Drosophila melanogaster: one gene and its partners. Changing the gene in region 1 together with any one later gene gives a genetic interaction. Each region holds a gene or a part of one and is shown on either strand. Other genes may lie near its edges.

Region 1 (6,253 bases):
CGCATATTTTTATAAAAATAAGAGTAATAACAATGCATGCAACACATGTATTCACATGAATATATGGGGAGATTGCATAGCATGGGCTTGTACAGTGTACATAAAATAAGCCGTCGCCGATTATATAGGACCCAAGAATATCATATTTTATATAGAAGCAAGCGCAAGCAAATAACCCAGGCAGCATGCCCTCAACTTTCAGTCGTAAACGGAGCGATTGGAAGTCGCTCCTAGTCTGTAAGATCCACGATTAACTAGCCGCTCTCTCCTTCGGTTAACTTCGTTCCGGTGTCACACATCTCTGCAAGGAGGGCATTATTGGTGTAAGGCAAACTTTTGAAGAAGGCAACCTTAATGATAAAATATGTATTTAGATATCCCTAAGGTACCAGCTAATGTCAAGATACTTTAATAAAACCGAATTCAAAATTGCAAGTATTGAAATATCGCCGACTAACTTTTATATGTGTTGGTTTTCTTTGGGTTTATATGTGCTCTACAGTCAAAACTCATTTTCATTTCTGTTTTTTTTTTTTTTAGATTGGTTTATATTCTGGATATTAATACACTTTTAAGACATATAGACTAAATTCTTACTGCTATGTTTACACTGCGTTTGGTGGCTATATATTTATGCTAGGTTTCGAATAAACATTTCAAACACGCACACCAAATTTCCAACTCTTATGAATATTTTGAAATCCATGCGCTGTTACATTTTGATGTGGGTGCGAGTGTATAAATGTTAAAAAATAGTTGCCATAACCGATAGAAATATAAAATGGTAAGGAGATAACACAAAAAAGTAGAAAAAGAATCATGTACAATACAAATTAGGGGCGAGTGCTTATATACAGAGTGTTTGTGTCTAGTTTTTAACTAAAACTAACGTATTTTTCCGTTTGCATTTGCATAGTTTTGAATATGTTACGCTTAGAACTAGATTTAAAGTTGAGGCGCTGCTTCTCTTTGAATACAAAGAAATCCTGCTTTCTAAAGGATTTTCAACTTTCCGCTTATCTCTTTAGTTTGTCTAAAAAGGCCTCAATAACAACTTAATATAATAAAATACTAACATTTACAGCGTTTCGTTTTGAAAAAGAGAGATAATAAATAAACTAAGAGTTTTTCAAAAATATCAAAACGGGATTGGGCATAAGGGGTTGGTGGTAAAGCAACGAGGGTCAGATCTCTAAAGCCTCGAATTGAGTAAACTAGTGGATCCGGTTTCATTTCTTGAAAACTTCGTGATACCGGGAATTGAAGTGTTCTCATATTCTAAATAAATAACAAGTAAACGGTTTACCGTTTCCGATTCCAGTACCTTTCCGGGGAATGAAATTGGTAACATGGCCCTCGGCTACGATTTCGCAGCTTCTCTGTTTACAAGTTGGCTTGAATTGCATTTAAAATAAATACTACACTACTAGCAGGGGCTAAGATTACGTTTACACTGCTGCTAACTGTCCTGGAGGCGGACTCTCCTCAGATCTTTCTATTTGGGTCTGCTGCTTATTTTCCTCACTTGGTCGCCGCTTCTTTAGTGGGGGAATTTCCGTTTCAATAGCGGGCGTTGGCTGCTGTTCTATAATGCAGGCGGTTCTTTTCTGGCCGGGACTGCTGTTGGGCAGCGGTTCGTTGGATCCATTCACTATATCGGTGACTATGTGAGCCTCCAGTGAAGGCGGTAGCAATGGTGACAATGGAACGGCGTTCAGATCACATGCATCCTCATCATCATCCTTATAATTGTGCCCCACATTGCCAAAGAGATCACTGTGTCTATTGTGTGATCTTTCCTCTTCTTCGTCATCATCATCGCTGTAATCGTTGTCCCAGAATACCTGGGCTCCTGGAAACACATACGAATAGTTGTTGGTGTGCGAATAGAATGTTCCAGGCTGCAGACGCTCGGCTGCTGTCTGTCGCTTTCCCCTCTGTTGTGGAATGGGCGTCAGGCTGGGCGCCACTGTCTTGGTCTCCTGAACAAGATTGCTGGGTCGCACGTAGCTAGGCGTGGCTTCGTTGTCGCACTGCTCGATGCCGCTATCCTTGGAGGAATCAATGGAAAGATGGCGATAGCTCTCCACCGTTGTCTGAGGGCCTTCCAGGCCCAGACGATCGCAACTTAGGGCTGTGGTCTCGTTCAGCTCAACCAGTATGTCTGTTTTAATACGTTCGATGGCTGCCGCTTCGGCGGCAGTGGAACGCTTTCCACAGCTAAAAGTAGATGACTCAAATCCACTATCCGAGCAGGTGCCAGCTGATCCTAGTATGTAGTCCGCCGAACTATTTGATTTAATAGACTGCGTATCCGTGTCCAGTTGCGACTGTCGCTCGCTCTCTGAACTGCAGTGGCGGTGGTGAAGTAGATGATGATGGAGGTGGTGATTAGAGTGCTCCGGAGGCATTAGCTCCTTGCTTTCGGTAAGCACTGACTCATCGCAGCACAGCTGCCGCCAGCAATCATCGTTGTCCGACAACCGGTGGCAAATCTGGTTGATGATCACATCGGAGTCGCCCAGCAGCTCCACATCGAACTTAAGGTGATGCAGCTGCTCGCGATTGATAAGAATCTGCGGCACCGTGGCCGGTATGCTGCTGGGAATGTGGGCCACAGGTCGGACCTTCAGCGAGGAGCCGATCACGATCAGTAGATCGCACACGTCCTTGTCGGTGGCCATGACCGTGTGGTACTCATCCGGCAGTCCTGTTGGCAATATGAAAAGCAAACACAATATGATATATGGTAAATAGCGTTACTTTGTATTTTCAATAGTTTATCTCTTAAATAAACACTTCTTTTGATCGTCGAATTTGAAATTCTTGCATTTATTTTACCAAGGCTATTGATAATATATAATAAATCTGTATAAAAATGGCACCTACCCTCGCCGAAAAAGACGATATCCGGCTTCATGATGCCGTTCTCGACCAGTTGGCGCAGCTCCTCCTCAGTAACGGCCACCGAGGCATCCACGCTCTGCTCCTTATTGGGCTGGCACTGCGGGCACACCGGAATTCGCTGGGCAAATATGTCCGCCCGCAGGGCGTCAGCGTTGCACTTGAAACGACACTTGGTGCACGAGGCCGTTGAAAAGGAGCCGTGACACTCGATTACTCGCTGAATGCCTGCCACCCGCTCGAGGGTGTCGATGTTCTGTGTGTAGTTGCGCAACAGTTTGCCCTTGGTCTCCAGCATTTTGATGAAACGATGGCAGGGTGAGGGCTGAAACTCGCCGGGATATATCTCGCGGGCAAACTTGTAGAACGGTCGTGGATCCCTCTTGAAGTAGTTGATATCAAACATGGCCTGCGGATCGGGCAGATCGGGAAAATCATGGGCCAATCGCGCATATATGCCATTGGTGGACCGGAAGTCCGGAATGCCGCAGGAGACGGATACTCCGGCTCCCGTTAGCACAATGATCTTCTGTGATTTCTTGACCAAACTGATGACATCGTCGAAGGTGTTCACTGAGGCCAGCTTGTTGCGCCGCTTCGGCTCGTTCAACAGGTGGGCCAAATAGTCCCACAGCACGGAGTCGTCGGTGTCGCCCGCCAGGCCGGTGGCGAAATGCGGCATAATGCTGGCAATAACCTGGCGCGGCACACGACCTGTGTAAAATTCTCGTTGCAACCAGCGCAGCTTCCAGTCGGGTTCCACGGATGAGGAGCAATTTGAGCTGGAGTCCTCATCCTCGTTGCTCGTTCCGGTGATTCCCTCCTCGTCGTCCTCCTCCTCCTCCTCATCGTCCTCTTCCTCCTCCTCCTCGTCATCTTCATCCTCGCCCATTGACTTTGTGGGATTTTTGGTTTTATGCTCCAAATTGGCGCCAATCTCTTGTTCTTCCCTGGCAGCCAATGTTTTTGTTTTGATTTCACCATTTGCTTTGCCAGCAAGTTCGCTTGTTGCTGGTTCTGTGGTTGTTGCTGTTGCTTCTGCCTCTGCCTCTGCCTCTGTTGACGTTGAGGCCAGAATTTCCGCGCCAAAATCAAACTTAGTTGGCGGATAGAATTGCGTAGTGTCTGGCACCTGGTTGCCCAGATCTTTAGACCTAATGTGGCCCAGGCGAATTTCCTCGTAATTTTCCATCATTTTTTCCGAACCCAAGCGCGCGCACACGCGCACACACACAGACTCACGGAGAGAAAACTCTCGTAGTTGGTGCTGTTGCTGGCTCTTCTTCTTCTTGCGCGAGTGTTTCCTCGGTCTCTCCGCTTTGCGCTCTCGCCTCGTCCGTTTTCTCCGCTCTTTCGTTGGTACACACAAAAATTTTTACGTCGTCAGCTTCGCACCCATTTGGCTTGATTGAAAAAATTCTCCAGCGATCGTTTGGCCGCGATTTTTTCAACCAACCCGACTTTATTTCACGTATATGCACGAAACTTAAATTTTAAAAAAATTTCGACACCATTTGGTTGCGATTTTTTCGTAATTTTCGAGCGTAGTTTCTGGAAAATTTTCCGATGAAAAAAGCAAGATGGCACACGTAGCTGCGCCTGTGTGTGTATGTGGGCTGGCAGACGTGATTCGGGTGGGACCCTGACACGTCGTGTGGAAAGTGCTAACGCGTTTCTGCATGGAAAGTGCCGCCAGCATGACTCATCACGGTATGTTTTTAGTATTTTTTGGGATTTTTGAGGGTGATTACGTGTTGCTACAGTGGCCACTGCCTTATGTCATATCTAATTTAATCCATTTCTTTAAAAACTGTTTAAAATATATCAATAATTTGTCAAAAAGTTAGTAAAATTAATTTTAAATTATGCTTCGAACTTTAATTTTAGCACTCTTTTACTTATCAAATTTACTCGATATTTAAACAATTAAGTAAAAATAATTTTTTTGTCCAATATTTACACATTTCATAGTAGTATTATAAATTGATGTATTGATAATATGCAGTTCATATGTCCAAAAACTTCCATCAAGCTGTTAAATACAAAAATGTGTAAACAGATTTCCAGAACGTTCCAGCAAGTGTCTACTGTTCCCCAAAAAAGCTGCGATTTTAAGTATTTATTTGGTACTTTCCCCAAAATTATAGGTTTTTGGTAGAACTTGGGCATACTTGTTAGCCAATATGACTTGAAAATATTGTCATAAATACATTGTTAAATAATTTAATAAGTCGTACACTTACAATGTACAAAATATTTTAGTTTGTAGGGGGACTGGGGATGCAATAGGAAATGGACAACCTAAATTTATACGACGTTCTTAAAGTGGCTCCGGATGCAACTGATGAGGAAATAAAAAAGGTATGTAACAGTTCCAATTCGATATGTTGGTAAATAGTTTGTATTCACCTTTTCACCAATAGAACTACCGAAAATTGGCAAAAGAGTTCCATCCAGACAAGAATCCCGATGCGGGCGACAAGTTTAAAGAAATATCCTTCGCCTACGAAGTGCTGTCCGATCCCGAGAAGCGGCGCATCTACGACCGATATGGATTGAAGGGCCTGCAAGAGGGCGCCGAGGGATTCTCTGATGCCTCCGAATTCTTCGCCCAGTGGTTCCCCTTCGATCGAGTCTCGTCCGAAGGTCGGGGCAGGCGCAATGGCAAAGTCGTGGTAAAAGTGGAGCTGACCCTGGAGGAGATCTACGTCGGCGGCATGAAGAAGAAGGTGGAGTACAATCGCCAGAAGCTGTGCTCCAAGTGTAACGGCGATGGCGGTCCCAAGGAAGCGCACGAGAGCTGCGAGACCTGCGGCGGAGCTGGACGAGCGGCCGCATTTACCTTCATGGGTCTCAGCCCCTTCGATACGGTATGTAAGAATTGATTGTAGTTGTAGTGAATGCACACCGCGGACCACACATCCGTGGAGATCCCATATACCACACTTCGGAGCAGATTATTTAAATTATTTTTTTTTGCAGACCTGTCCGACTTGCGATGGCAGGGGCTTCACCATAAGGGACGACAAGAAGTGCAGTCCCTGCCAGGGCAGTGGTTTCGTAGAGCAGAAGATGAAGCGGGACCTGGTTGTGGAGCGAGGAGCACCGCACATGCTAAAAGTTCCCTTCGCAAATGAGGGCCACCAAATGCGAGGCGGCGAATTTGGGGATCTGATTGTAGTCATCTCCCAGATGGAACATCCAATCTTTCAGCGCCGCCATGCCAATCTGTACATGCGAGACCTGGAGATCAACATCACGGAGGCCTTGTGCGGCTACTCGCATTGTTTCAAGCACTTGGATGGACGAAACGTCTGTCTGCGCACGTACCCTGGTGAAGTGTTGCAGC
Region 2 (6,034 bases), on another chromosome or scaffold:
CGGCAATCTTCTTAAATCGCTCAGGCATACCAAATTCTGGGTATATAAAGAAATTGCTTATTTATTTCTTATTGGCCCTTCGAAATACTTATGTAACAAACTGATTCTTCAGGTCCCGATGGCATGGAAAAATTCTGCGAGGATATCGGCGTGGAGCCCGAGAATATTGTGATGCTGGTGCTGGCCTACAAAATGGGCGCCACCCAGATGGGCTTCTTCAGCCAGCAGGAGTGGCTAAAGGGCCTCACAGAACTCGACTGCGATTCGGCAGCGAAAATGGTTGTGAAATTGGACTATCTGCGCAGCATACTCAACGATCCCAACTCCTTTAAAAGCATCTACAGATACGCCTACGACTTTGCCAAGGTCAGTAATCCATTTGAATAAACAATGAGCTGCGTTTAATAAGGCTCTGCATATTCCGCAGGACTCGGACCAACGGTGTATGGATATACTCACTGCCAAAGCCATGCTTCAACTACTTTTGGGCAAACATTGGCCTCTGTATCCACAGTTCGCACAGTTTCTAGAGCAATCAAAGTACAAGGCGATCAACAAAGATCAGTGGTGTAATATTCTCGAGTTCTCGCGCACCATTAGCATTGATCTATCAAACTACGATATCGACGGAGCTTGTAAGTAACACAAAGGAGCTAACTAAACTAAACTGAACTATGTATTTCGCAACCGTATTAAAAGAAGCTGATAAATAAGTTAAAATAAGAACTTGAAACGGAGCATTTAGTTACCCCCATCTTTTTGCAGGGCCCGTCATGCTGGATGAGTTTGTTGAATGGCTGCGCCTGCAGCGGAGTCAGGTCACCTCCACAACCGGATCTAGCTGAGAAAAGCTGTATCGAGTCGCCTATTTCTAGTTCAACTTTGGGAGCTCAGTGCGGAGAGGAGTTCGCGGAGACTGAGTCGGAGATGGGATGCGATGCGATGGGATGGGAATGCTGATAAGATAGATCGGCGAAAATTTAAGACATAACCGCAGGACACTCACTGACACCCACACCCACACTCAGATCCACGATCAGATCCACCAGCCACTTCTTCGGCCTAAAACACACAAGCACACACTCACCCACACGGAAACACAAGGCATTTTGGAGAGACTGCGTACACTGGCAAAGCAACCAACTATGAAACTAAACTATTGATAATATATTTAATGTAATAATTTATGTATTAACGACGACAACTAAGAACTAAAACCACATTTTTCTACTTATAAGGCCTCTTTCGCAAACAAAAACAAAACATTAAAATCAGAACAGCAACAAGAGCCAAAACGGGGCAGCTTGTAAGGAGTAATCCCAGAGAACGAAACGATGGCAATAACCAAGAGACCCCAAATAGACCTATTCTAGAACATACAATCCTCCAACCCAAGCGACCCCTTCGAGATATCAGCAGGCATAGTCAAAATCTAAACGGAAATCTACACCAATAGTGGGGTATTCGTAGTCGTTATTAAATCAATGTAGAAAAACAAAATCTGGGGATTATTTAATAAAGTTATTAAGTAAACACATTATTTTTTCTATTTACTTGTGTGTGTTTTAGTGTTGTTTTTTTTTTATCAAAATTATTTTTAACCGTTATTTGAAAGTTTAACTGAAAAACATAGAAGGCTTTGAGATAGCTGTTTCTAATAATTTCTTTTTAACACAAATCAGGATCGAAACCTGCAATTACAAGGTGGCAGTATTTTTACTCAGAAAACGTTTGCAGCAATTCAAATTAGAAAAGGGGCTCTACAATATAAAGTTGACCGTTGACTGTTTAGTAAACTCAATTTATGAAACCCTTTTGAAATTTCAAAAATGTAACGTTAGTTTTTGTAGATTTTCAAATAAATAGCGGTTAAACACAGTGTTGCGCAGAGCAATAGGAAAAAATATTGCGCTCAATTCGAACAGAGTAAACGCCAGTAGGTAAATTCAAAAGGGTAACGGCCATAGAATTTGTTGTTCAACACTCAACAAAATACCGCGATACATACCAGAAAGTGTGCGATAGCCAGCGAAACGGGCACACCAATTCAGCTGACGCTTCACGTCCAATTCATTTTGGCATTTAAAAAATCGAACGGTTTCGGCGCGTTCTCCGCTTTGTGCTTGGTTTTCGTGCATTCGATGGGCAAAACCGAGATTTGATCGCCGCTTCTCTTGTCAACCGTGTGGATCTGATCTCCGTTTCCGAGGCACTTTCAGCCGATCGCCGGTGGAATTATAGGCTCAGAACGAGGAGTATCGCCGCAAAACTCCAGGCGAACGCAAACGCAAAAGGGGCAGTCCGTAGTAAAGAAGAAAGGAGAGCAAGATGGCCGCGAAGCCCGAGGATAAGAGCACGGATATTCCGGATCGCCTCGTCGACATCAACCAGCGGAAAACCTACAAGCGCATGCGGTTCTTCGGCAAGGTGAGTCCGGATGCGGATTTGCAGATGCCCGGGATCAGATCAGTCGAAGGGATCACACATTTACCTACACGCACACATGCACGCACCCGCATACACACATATCCATTTCCACATCCCGGTTTTCGTTCCGTTTTCCTTGCTGATGAGCATTCCCTTGTTGTTTTTGTAGCTCTCTCCTTTAAGAGCAGGAGAGAAAAAGAGAGCCTGTGTGTGGGAATCTTGTACGAGCCTGTGTGTGTGTGTTCATGCAGTTGGCTGCTTGTTCAGTTTTTTTTTTTGGCGCGGCTTCTTCGAATTTACATAGACAAGAAAAGGAACTGTTGCAACTTAGTTGAACCAACAATTTCCTCGTTGTGCTATTGGCATATAAATATTTTCTTGGAAGGGGCTCCGCAGATTGGAGCAAAGGTACTAAACATGTGATTGTTAAATATAAATTACTAATTTTATGTTGCCAACCAATATGGATAAAAAGTTTATACAGAATATGTTTGTAAAATAGACATCAATACGTTTATTAAACGCCATTTACTTGAAAATACCTATATGCAAAGTTTTATCATAGATCTGTTTTTAATACAGTATAAGGTTATGTTTTTGTATAATGTTTTTAAATACAAAATTAATATGCTTTATGCAGGGCGGGTTTGCAAAATGTTACGAGATCATCGATGTGGAAACCGACGACGTCTTCGCCGGCAAGATCGTATCCAAGAAGCTGATGATCAAACACAATCAGAAGGAGAAGACCGCCCAGGAGATAACTATTCACCGCAGCCTTAACCATCCGAACATTGTCAAGTTTCACAACTACTTTGAAGATTCGCAGAATATCTACATTGTGCTGGAGCTGTGCAAGAAAAGAGTGAGTTTAATAGAACATCTCTGCAATATGCCACCATGACACTTACCTCTCCGACTTACAGTCCATGATGGAGCTGCACAAACGTAGGAAAAGCATTACGGAGTTCGAATGCCGCTACTACATTTACCAGATAATCCAGGGCGTTAAGTACTTGCACGATAACCGCATTATCCATCGAGATCTGAAGCTGGGCAATCTCTTCCTCAACGATTTGTTGCACGTGAAGATCGGGGATTTCGGGTTGGCCACGCGCATTGAGTATGAGGGCGAGCGAAAAAAGACCTTATGCGGAACGCCCAACTATATAGCCCCGGAGATCCTCACCAAGAAGGGCCACTCCTTCGAGGTGGACATCTGGTCGATTGGCTGCGTCATGTACACACTGCTTGTGGGCCAGCCGCCGTTCGAAACCAAGACTCTGAAGGATACGTACTCGAAAATCAAGAAGTGCGAGTACCGCGTGCCCAGCTACTTAAGGAAACCGGCGGCGGATATGGTCATCGCCATGCTGCAGCCAAATCCGGAGAGCCGCCCGGCAATTGGTCAGCTGCTGAACTTTGAGTTCCTCAAGGGCTCAAAGGTGCCCATGTTCTTGCCCAGCTCTTGTCTGACAATGGCGCCGCGTATCGGCAGCAACGACACCATCGAGGATTCGATGCACCGCAAGCCACTGATGGAGATGAACGGCATCAGGCCCGACGACACTCGTCTGGAGTCGACCTTCCTCAAGGCCAATCTGCACGACGCCATTACCGCGTCAGCGCAGGTGTGCCGCCACAGCGAGGACTATCGCAGCGATATCGAGAGCCTGTACCAGCAGCTCACTAATCTTATCAACGGAAAGGTAAGTACCTTTTGCTCTATATTAGTTAAATAATTTAAGACTCTTATACCTCTTCACTTCTTTAGCCGCGAATTCTGCAAGGCAATCTGGGCGACGAGAACACAGATCCTGCAGCGCAGCCGCTCTTCTGGATATCCAAGTGGGTTGACTACAGCGACAAGTACGGATTTGGTTACCAGCTGTGCGATGAGGGCATCGGCGTGATGTTCAACGACACCACAAAGCTGATCCTGCTGCCGAATCAGATCAACGTACACTTCATCGACAAGGATGGCAAGGAGACGTACATGACCACCACGGATTACTGCAAGTCGCTTGACAAGAAGATGAAGCTGCTGTCGTACTTTAAGCGCTACATGATCGAGCACCTGGTGAAGGCAGGTGCCAACAATGTGAACATTGAGAGCGATCAAATCTCGCGTATGCCCCATTTACACTCCTGGTTCCGTACAACATGTGCCGTAGTTATGCATTTGACCAACGGTTCTGTGCAGGTTTGTATAATTGTACAGCATCGGCATCATGTACATCTGGTCCTAATGAACTATCTATCCTTCTTAGCTAAACTTCTCAGATCACATGAAGCTCATCCTCTGCCCGCGCATGAGTGCTATAACCTATATGGACCAGGAGAAGAACTTCCGCACCTACCGATTTTCGACCATTGTGGAGAACGGCGTGTCTAAAGACTTGTACCAGAAGATCCGATATGCCCAGGAGAAACTTAGGAAAATGCTGGAGAAGATGTTCACATAAGCGTAGCCAGCCCAACTATCATTATAAGGCCGAATGTTAGTTTAACGTAATTCACGAATGCCCTGGCCAACTTCATTTATAGCCCAGAAAGTATCCTCCTCTCCCATCATCTTTTAAAATTGTAGTTCCCGTTCAAATTGATTTGTTCGATGTTTATAGAATTTATTTGTTTTTGCCCCTTCCCCTTCATATCGAAAATACTGCTTAAGTTATATTCATCGTCAGTGTTGGGCCTCCCTCAAAAGTAATTTAATATATCTGTTTAATGGTTTTCGTACACGATCCGATCACTTAATGCATTTTAAAGAGATCAAATTAAATGTTTAAACTAAGCAAACGTGTTTCGAAATGCCTATATTCACCGAGGTGACTGATAACAAAATTTTAATGCTGGATACATTATAAAAGTAATAGTGTAATATTGTGCGTTCGTAGTGCGCTATAGCGCCATTTAAAATAATACATAAGTTACAATACTGCTGCAAAGTGTTTAAGTGTACAAGTATATTCAACTTTGGCCAGAAATATCTGTAGCTATAGGATACAATATGTAAATGCTTTTGAACTAAAAGCGAATATATATAAAATTTAATAAAATATCTGAAAAAAGATTGTTTGCAACGTTTAGGGCAGCTGTTCTTAAAATGCACCTGCCAGACTGTAGGTGACGCATTCAGGCGGCTGAGAATTATTTTGAACGAACAAACGTTACAGCCCTTGCATTTCACAACACTGGCATGAGTTATTTGAGAATGCTGTGAGATGGTAACACTGGCACCACTTCTGCGGTCACACCAAGTCAGCATATTGATTTTATTTTCTCGAAAAAAGATCCCAATACGTACACACACTCGCTGAAAAGCCGAACAAGTCTTAAACTTAGATGCAATTAGTGCCGAGGCGGACATAAATCCTCGACATGGGTGACAACGAACAGAAGGCGCTCCAGCTGATGGCCGAGGCGGAGAAGAAGTTGACCCAGCAGAAGGGCTTTCTGGGATCGCTGTTCGGGTGCGTATCAAATCAAAGAAGTTTCGCAATTTCTGTGGGAGTGGGGAAATGGAGCTGTGTCTGGTCTAGCCTAGCATCTCCACAACCCCACAAGGTACTGAGCCCTATTCCAAATAGCACTTGGATACCAA
Region 3 (4,007 bases), on another chromosome or scaffold:
CTGACTAAGCCAAAATCTGAGTATTCGTCACCCTCGTCCAAATGGATGGTGGATTGTAAACCGGAATCGTCGTCTTCCTCACCAAAATCGATGGGCGGGGGGGTGCTGCAGAGCAGCGGTGGTACATTCACCATAATGCCAGCTGCAAAATTCAGTAAAAGGATCCCCTAAAATTCACTTCCTGCTTCAAGAAGAACAACAAAAACGCTGGGAACGGTTCGATCTTCTATCTCTCTCGCTCCACTTTATCACTGTGTGTGTGGTGTGTATGTGTGACGCAGGTGTGGAGGGCCTGCAAGTGTGTGTGTGTGTGTTAGCCACTCAAGGTCTGTGTTGGAATTTTCTTGTTTGCATTTAACACGCGTCAATTTTGTTGTGTCTCTGTATTATGTCTAATTGTCGCCTTATTGGTGGCTCTAAAAACAGATTTGCCGAATTTGCAAGTCGCGTTTTATCTGCAATTAGCCATGTTTTCCAGAAAACAATACTTTTTCCTCTGCCCACAGTGTGAACGTTTAACTTTTGGCCAACCGACAGTGCTGAAAAACGTTGCGCAACATTGATAACATACAAAATTTGAATCTTATCTTTTTCAATTCCCATTTTCGATTTAAATCATTATCCATAGTTCAGATAGAATAGTTATATTAGTTATATTTCTATAATAGATTTTTATTCTTTCCAATTCTTTTACCGTTAAAATTGTATTTGAAAATTATTAGTAACAAGAGTAAAATATACATGAAAGTCTAGGCTGCAGTATGTAATACGTCAAATTTTGTTGGGACACTAAACAACAAATAGTCGTCATAAAGGCTTCTTTTAAATTGTTATGATATTTTCCACAATTTCTGCATACTTTTTTAAGCTTGCTGGCAACGCCGCCACCGTACCAATACAACTATCGATAGCCGCCTGTCAGTTTTGACAGCTGTTTTAAGGTTATACTGCGCTGCCGTTGCAATCGCTCCACCAATTTGGTAATTTTGCTTATTTAACATCAAATATTGCATAAAACTAGGAAAACCAGGAATCTGTAAAGTGGAGCGAGACGGGGAACGCTATTAAGGAAGTCGGATAACTAAAGTACATCCTTTTCTTGCAGTTCACGGTCGGACAATTACATAACTTGAAGAAGAAACCATGTCGCAGGCTCCCGTTCGCGTTTCCCCGCTGATCAAGTTCGGCAGATGGTCCCTGCTCCTGGTGGGCATTGCCTACGGCGCCGCCCACCAGAGCCGCCTGTCCAAGAAGGAGGAGAAGTTGCGCGAGATCGAGGCACAGCAGAAGGCCGTCCGTGATGCCAAGCTCGCCGAGGAGAAGAAGCGCAGCGCAGAGGCTGAGGCCCGTGCCTTGGCTGAGCTTTCGAAGCCCACTCCCAAGCACTAGGATCCTTCAGGATGCAACATCCGCAGTTCCCTTAGCTTAAAAACATTGAAAAACCACAACATTTACACACGAAGTTCGCCCAAAAGGAGGAGCATCATCGATAGTGGAGCCACCATCTATCGATCACTGACTATCGTTTTTGTGTTTTCCTCTGATGCTTGTGCAAAAAACAGAATGTTCGAAATTAAATGATTGAAACAAAACCATTATGTAAATACTCTCAAGTGTTTCGTGTTTGTGATTAAGTGGTGTTCACTGGAAATATATTTATATTAGCATAGTGTTTGGATAGGAGAGGATTGAGAGAATTTGAGAGGGTTTGAGCTCCAAATTTGACTAGGAAGTACATATAAATATTTTTGCAAATTGATTATCAATAATTTTCCTAAATTTTGTTTTAAATCTTTTTTGATAAACAACAACTGATAGTTTACCTTATTGGATGCCCACTGTAGTTGCCAGCTGATTGGCCCACTTAAGATATTGGCGCCAACAGCTGATTTCAACCGGCGTTTATTTACACTTTCAATTCGCTCGCAAGTCGTCGCATGGCTCGGCTGTTTGATCAATAATCCCCCGGAATACTTCCAATTCCGGAGGTGTTGAGACACCTTTCGTGTTTCGGGGAGCCATTATATCACGCAATCCCATCGAGGACATGCCATCGCATCGCGATGACAAACTTTCTGGATCAATTGCCCAAGCATATCAGAGAAATCGCCGAGCAGGGTAAGAGTTTTGGGGTTCCAACAACTTTATTCAAGAGCCAACTAAATTCCTGTACTCCAGTTAATGTTCTCGCACCGGAGGAGGTGCTGACAACTCCCAAGGTGCGATTCCTGGACACCCGCCAGCAATCGCTGCACACAATCGTGCGAAAATGCACTCCGGATGATGTTAGGGTGCTCAAGGATGCGGCAGCCAAGTGGCTGGCAGAGATGCCCCAGTCAGGTGATTCTCAGACTAATGTATAAGTAGCCTCTTGTGTTTAGTTTGCCACTATTTATTACAGCGGATTCCCTCTTCAAGCCGCTTGTCAATGTTAGATGGTCGCGGGTGTCGTTTGGATGTTCCGCTTTAGATCGCTGCACGGGCGGGGGAGTGGTCACTCGTGGAATTACAGAGCTATGTGGAGCAGCCGGCGTGGGCAAGACCCAGTTGCTTCTTCAGCTATCCCTTTGTGTCCAGCTACCCCGTGAGTTGGGTGGCTTGGGCAAAGGCGTGGCCTACATATGCACGGAGAGTTCCTTTCCGGCGAGAAGATTGCTGCAGATGAGCAAAGCCTGCGAGAAGAGGCATCCCGAAATGGAGCTGAATTTTCTGGGAAACATCTTTGTGGAAAATCACATTGAGGCAGTGAGTCGACAAACCAATTTGTAGCCATATGCTTATTTAATATTAATCCAAAGGAACCTCTCCTGGCGTGCGTTATAAACCGCATTCCGCGACTGATGCAACAACATGGCATTGGCCTGATCATTATTGATTCTGTGGCCGCCATATTCCGGCTGTATAATGATTATCTGGAACGAGCGAGACATATGCGTCGACTGGCAGACGCTCTGCTCAGCTACGCGGATAAGTACAACTGTGCCGTGGTCTGTGTGAATCAGGTGGCCACCAGGGACGGTCAGGATGAGATTCCCTGCTTGGGATTGCAGTGGGCGCACCTAGGACGCACTAGACTGCGTGTTTCCCGGGTGCCCAAGCAGCATCGCATGGGTGATCAACTGATAACGGTGCGCAAACTGGAAATACTTTACTCACCAGAGACTCCCAATGATTTCGCCGAGTTTCTTATCACCGCAGAAGGTGTGGTCAATGTTCCAGAGCCATCTGTTCCCAGCCCACCCGCCAAAATGCGTCGACTGTGATTGATTGAATTTATTCTGTTTATTTTGTTATCGTTTAATTTGTTGAATTTAAAATGTGTAACGGCGGAGCGTTCAATTAGCCATACGATTGTCTTATACTCCTGTTAAATTCAGCGGAATATTTTAGGGTTTAATAATTTAAATTTACTTAGTTGCCAATCAGGTTTAGGTATCATTAAAATATATAAAAACAAATTTAGAAAACATGCTTTTCTTATTTCTTTTCAGGAACAAAAGGTTTTCTGATGACCTGATTAACACGATAACGCAATCTTGTTTCAATTTTTTTTTTAAATAAATGTAAAGTTCCGATAAATTTAACCCGAGTTTAAGCCATTTTCCGGGCATAATCATCTTATTTGTTGCCTTAATTCCTTTTTTGTACAAACACTCAATAAATATGTTTCATTCAATTGCAATTTACAGGGTAGCAGAGCTTACAGGCCTACATACATAGTATAGTTCATAGTTCAAGTAGTAAAATCAATTTTGTAATCGCCTCGTATACATTATCACATGAAATTCTCAAAAGTTCAGATTACAATTTGCCATAGTTTACGCGGACATTTAAATGCGACATTTACAAAAGCCTAGCCTTAGCGTTTAAGTATATTAAATAAATAAAATACAAGCCTAAAGGTGAACGGATTACGCGACAATTAAATTACAATTAAGTAATACAACTATGGGGGTTTTCTTTCTGTTTAGTTTTATTTTTGTTTTTCTTTTGTTTATTGGGATAGT
Region 4 (4,643 bases), on another chromosome or scaffold:
TATATGTATCTTTTGGCGGACTTATCTTCTTGTTGTTCTCGCATTCCAAAATCTCTATGTACATGCAAACTTTTATTGTCATAACTCGGGACTTTGCAGACTTTGAGGCCTATTTAATAGAGCTATAATCTTACAACAAAAAAAAACTAAAAGAGCTTTTTAAGCAATAAAAATATTCTGAAAAATTACAAATTAACAAAAAATTACCCAATGAAGCCTGCAAATTTGAAATCTTTAAGATCCTAGATATGCCAAGATGCACCCTAAAGTCCTTAACTCATCTCCTTGGCTCGTTTCTAATCCCCCCTCTCGAGGGATCGAGACGATCGCATCGGGTCGGTCTTTAAGTTTGGATGATCCATAAACTGTTGGTTTCTCCGTCCTCAGCGTCTAGACTTCATTAGCCGTGTAATGTTGCGGAATTTATGTGGCAGGCACATTAAAATAACACCGATACACACTCTCATGGACGCGAACGTGTGTACAAGTATAGAGATATCGGGCCTAGGCGAAAAATGAAATTAAAAAAAAAAAAAAAACTGGCACCGGGAGGGGCTTATTTTTCGGTGGTCGGGGATGCGGGGGACTTTGACCATAAAATACATGCTCCCAAAAAGCTCGCACACTGCAAGAGATGCGGGGCACTTCTGAGTCCCATATTCATATGCACAAATGTGCATTGCTGGCATTATCAGTAGAATGCAATTTCGGGAAATTTTCCATCGCATCACGAGACAATGAACGTAAGAGAGAAATGGAGCCTCAAAGAGGGAGGGAGAGAGAGAGCTTGAGTGAACGAGCGAGCGACAATCGCGAGATAACGGCTGCCTTATCAGCAATGCCGACCGCCCCATCACCCCACCCAAAACGCCCAACCACCACCCACCGCCGCCGTTCCCTTTCCTCCATCGTCGAGAATTTCGAGTTCAGAGCAGCGCGACCGAAATGAAAAGAAACAATTTAAATTCCAAATGTATAAAATAGGTAAACTATGGCTTTTATTTATTAATATTGACGGGGGCACAAAGGCGGTCACCTCAATAGTGAATAACATGTTTTTTATAATGAATACTTTTCAAATTGTTATTAATATGCAATGACGTCTTAAATGTTTCACTGCAGCTGAACTTTATTCTTTTCATTAAAACAGTCACCCGTTATTAAAAATAAATAGATTAAGTTTTATATTATTAAATTTGTAAGTATTGAAACAATTCCTTTTTTATTTTATACGAATTATCATTTAGTTGGGGTTAATATCCCTTAAAGAGAGAAATTTGTATGCTTTAAGATTTAAAATATCTATTGCATTTATAGCTATAGCTATAACTTCTCTTATTTCACGCAGAAAATACTCAAATAAAACATATCGATTTGGCATACCCCACTAATTTTTTGGCCCCAAGTGTGTGAGAGTGTGTGAGACGAAGCGCGCCACAAACATAAAAAAGCGGTGAAGTGAGCGGTTGTGGAACGTGAGTGGATGCTAAGAGCAAGCTCTCACATACGCGGACATAGGTCGCACACACACACGCACAGACCGCCTTTTTGCGCCGCCGAAACGAACACTTTTACGAAGGCGACGGCGAATCAGTTTCAGTTGTCAGTTCGCATCCAACTAGAAAGCAGTTAACGAGTAGTCTGTGTTTTTTCGCTTGCGGTTAAAAGCCACGAGGTCGTTCATCGTTCATCGTTTTCCTTTTCAACTTCAAGCAAAGCAAATATAAACCAATGCAAAAAACGCAGTGATCTTTTGAGGCCCAAATCGTTTGGGGCCGAACACCGTTGATTCTAAAACGCAAATGTAGAAACAAATCAAGAAAGTGGAAAATAAATATGTTTCGCTTTCAAAACATGTGAATGTGCCGAACTCAAAACTGAAACGTAGAAGGAACGCGTTCGTTTTTTACATACGACAATCGTATAAAATAAGAGAAAAGCTCCAAAACGTATTAAATAGCGATGCTTGGATGATCTTCGTAGCAGTCACGTTGTACATACAAATACATACATATGTACCTACTATATGGCACATAAAATACGTTACGCACACTAGTGGCGAATAAAAAGCGAATTGGAGTAAGCTCCGAAACGTGTTTATATTAAAATTTTTTACCCATTTGAACTTTAAACAACTTTTCGACTGCGCCGCACGGTTTTCATTGAATTCTCATACGAATTCCAATTAAGTGTTGTGTGTGCGTCCAATTGGCATGAATTGATGACGTGACGTGATCGCTCTCTTCGCTCTCTCCCTCTCTTTCTTCGGCACACACACATACACACACTACGCTCTTTAATCGCGCCGCTCTCTTCGCGCTCTTTTTATTTGTTTATTTTGATTGTTGTTATATATATATTCTAATTTACCGTTTTTACAATCGTCTTTAGCTTAAGCAAAACCGCCGCCCAGCAACAACAAGAAACCCATTTAATGAGTGTGTGTGTGTGTGAGCAGAAAATTATGCCAACAGAATTCTAAAAAATATATATGTATATATTTAAATAACCACTAAAAATCAAGAAATCCGCACAAGTTTCGCTCAAAACAACAACACAATCATATATACTACCCATAAAAAAAAAACAAACCCATAAAAAAGTGCAAAGCAACCAGGAAAATAAAGTAAAACAGTGCCAGTTAACAACAGCAAACGGCGATCAACAAATCCCACCGGCAAAATCAACAATTTTTTAAATCGCAATCAACAAGGAGCAACAAATTAGCCAGCTATTTCCCATTGCAAACATTTGGCGGGTAAATATTATTAACAATTACGAGTAGGTGTACTTGATTGAATGAAAAATGTCATGTTTTTTAAGTTCCTAAATTCGATTCGAATCTAATCGGCAATTGATTGAAATATTCTAAAAGTCAAATTTTGTTTCGTCACGCGATTAAAAAAGTAATTGAAGCAGTGCTTTCCTACACATCAATTAAAATTTAAATTAAATGGTATTTTATGTTGATTACAACAACATTTTTTTTAGTCGCCACAATAAAATATTCATTCTTCCGTGAAATATTTCCAATATAAATTGCTATTGCTATATTTATAAAAATAAGCTTTGATAAAAGTTAAGAGGTTTAATAGAAACTAGAGTTAGGTTCTTTTATTTATATTGGTGTTTAGAATTTTAGATAGGAAAGCTGGACTTTTTGTTGTGTTAAAGTAGTCACATCTATTGAATTTACGACCCAAATTTTAATACAACCGATAGGGAATGTGATTTATAACCTTATTCGAGTAATTCCTAGTTTCACTTTCAAGATCAAAACGACTAGAATCATAAAGTCGGTCACGTTCGGCGCTGCAGTGTCGCTCCAATAGATGATCTTTCAGTTCGTGTGGGTTTTGATTAGTCCGTTTTGGTGTGTTACTTGTCATGGGAGTGGGCAGGGGAGATCTTAATTAGAGCAGCGCTGATAATGGCTCTAAAAATAGAGCCCCAGCGCCACACTGATAGCAGAGCTTGAAGCGTGTGTCGTTTGCGTGGAGCTCATTTCTTTCGTTCTGTGTTTGTTTGCTCCCCCGATTTTCGTATGCGATCCACTAAGGTCGATTTTGTTGCCATATTTTGCCAGCGATCTCGTATACGCACCGTTTTCAGATGCTTTTGAATATTCTCTTGACATCAGTATTGACATTGAAATGTGATTAGGTTTAATTTTCATAAATGGGTTGATTCGCCACTCGGTTAGCTGTCGAAAGAGGCTTTTTTATTCCCCATTTACAGATAAGGCTTTTATCTATTCGCAATGTGCCAAGGTACAACAGCAGCTGATGGCCCAAAAAAAGTGTACATATAAGCCTATACACACATCTGTATAGTCGTCCTATGTGCTTGCGATTGTGACTTTTATCATATCTTGAGTGTTTGCTAGCCACATTGGTGGAACGTGCCAGTTGATAACAAGAAAGTGTGCGAAAGTTTGTCTAAAAAGCTGTAATTGAAGCAGGGAAACCGGGAAGTCAATTAATTTTGAGAGACAACATTAAACGTATTCTTCGTATTCTAGTATTCTTCAAGAATTAGTAAAGCTCTTACTAATAAGCTCGTTTGAGAATGACGATAAGTTATATCGATAATGTCGATTTTACCGATAACCGAAAAACGTTAGTAATGGAAATTTAATGATCATTAAATGAGAGCCACTACATATTGTTTTGTTTAGAAAGATATAGTCGGAATACCAGTAGTTATTTCTTAGTATTATTTTGTGATTTTTAAATATTCTACTCAGATGTGTAGAACTTTTTTTCGAACGCTTCTTTTTGCTTAATTTATTTCGTTTTTCGCGCCGACCCCAAAAACGTTAGTAATGCAAATCGATTGCGTTTGCGAAGTCAGATGATCCCATCCATGATTTCCATGCGTCAGTTGTCCCAGCTGTCAATCGAAGATCGCCGTTTGGGGGCTCTACGTTCCTGGTTGACTTCGCCATCGGTCGAGTGGAATCGAATCGTTCGTTTGCTCTTTAATTATTGTAATGAATTCAATAAACATTGCAGGGCCTCTGCCGTTCATTTGCATTTGCGTTCGCACTCGCTGCATTCTGAACTATTGCACATTGCCTGGTCGGGCCTCTCCTTCTCTATATAGCGATATATATGTATATGTATATGTATATATAAATATAT

What was found.
Region 2: of Sirt1 (region 1) and polo, changing one suppresses a phenotype caused by changing the other (phenotypic suppression), as found in Drosophila melanogaster (one study listed by BioGRID).
Region 3: of Sirt1 (region 1) and spn-B, changing one suppresses a phenotype caused by changing the other (phenotypic suppression), as found in Drosophila melanogaster (one study listed by BioGRID).
Region 4: of Sirt1 (region 1) and foxo, changing one suppresses a phenotype caused by changing the other (phenotypic suppression), as found in Drosophila melanogaster (one study listed by BioGRID).

The regions. Positions count from the first base shown.
Region 1 is NT_033779.5:13,163,837-13,170,089, reverse strand, and holds Sirt1 (sirtuin 1), read right to left. Parts: upstream 4,527-6,253; 5' UTR 4,100-4,526; coding exon 2,890-4,099; intron 2,711-2,889; coding exon 1,449-2,710; 3' UTR 539-1,448; downstream 1-538. Other genes in the region: DnaJ-H (DnaJ homolog), read left to right, coding at 5,197-5,265, 5,328-5,774, 5,887-6,253. UniProt on the Drosophila melanogaster protein: NAD-dependent histone deacetylase involved in heterochromatic silencing. Mildly suppresses the heterochromatin-mediated silencing phenomenon known as position-effect variegation (PEV). Required for epigenetic silencing of the polycomb group proteins.
Region 2 is NT_037436.4:20,307,982-20,314,015, forward strand, and holds polo (polo), read left to right. Parts: upstream 1-1,672; 5' UTR 1,673-2,328; coding exon 2,329-2,427; intron 2,428-3,067; coding exon 3,068-3,292; intron 3,293-3,353; coding exon 3,354-4,136; intron 4,137-4,201; coding exon 4,202-4,630; intron 4,631-4,697; coding exon 4,698-4,892; 3' UTR 4,893-5,485; downstream 5,486-6,034. Other genes in the region: SCCRO4 (squamous cell carcinoma-related oncogene 4), read left to right, coding at 113-366, 428-635, 766-845; alphaSnap (alpha soluble NSF attachment protein), read left to right, coding at 5,812-5,903. UniProt on the Drosophila melanogaster protein: May play a role in regulating both nuclear and cytoplasmic aspects of the mitotic cycle. Regulates localization of the augmin complex during mitosis by ensuring its location on mitotic spindles.
Region 3 is NT_033777.3:14,326,148-14,330,154, forward strand, and holds spn-B (spindle B), read left to right. Parts: upstream 1-1,903; 5' UTR 1,904-2,063; coding exon 2,064-2,118; intron 2,119-2,178; coding exon 2,179-2,340; intron 2,341-2,401; coding exon 2,402-2,745; intron 2,746-2,798; coding exon 2,799-3,263; 3' UTR 3,264-3,461; downstream 3,462-4,007. Other genes in the region: Afti (aftiphilin), read right to left, coding at 1-134; ATPsynE (ATP synthase, subunit E), read left to right, coding at 1,144-1,389.
Region 4 is NT_033777.3:14,055,350-14,059,992, forward strand, and holds the start of foxo (forkhead box, sub-group O), read left to right. Parts: upstream 1-1,595; 5' UTR 1,596-1,675; exon of another isoform or gene 1,676-2,079; intron 2,080-2,391; 5' UTR 2,392-2,758; intron 2,759-4,643. UniProt on the Drosophila melanogaster protein: Transcription factor involved in the regulation of the insulin signaling pathway. Consistently activates both the downstream target Thor\d4EBP and the feedback control target InR.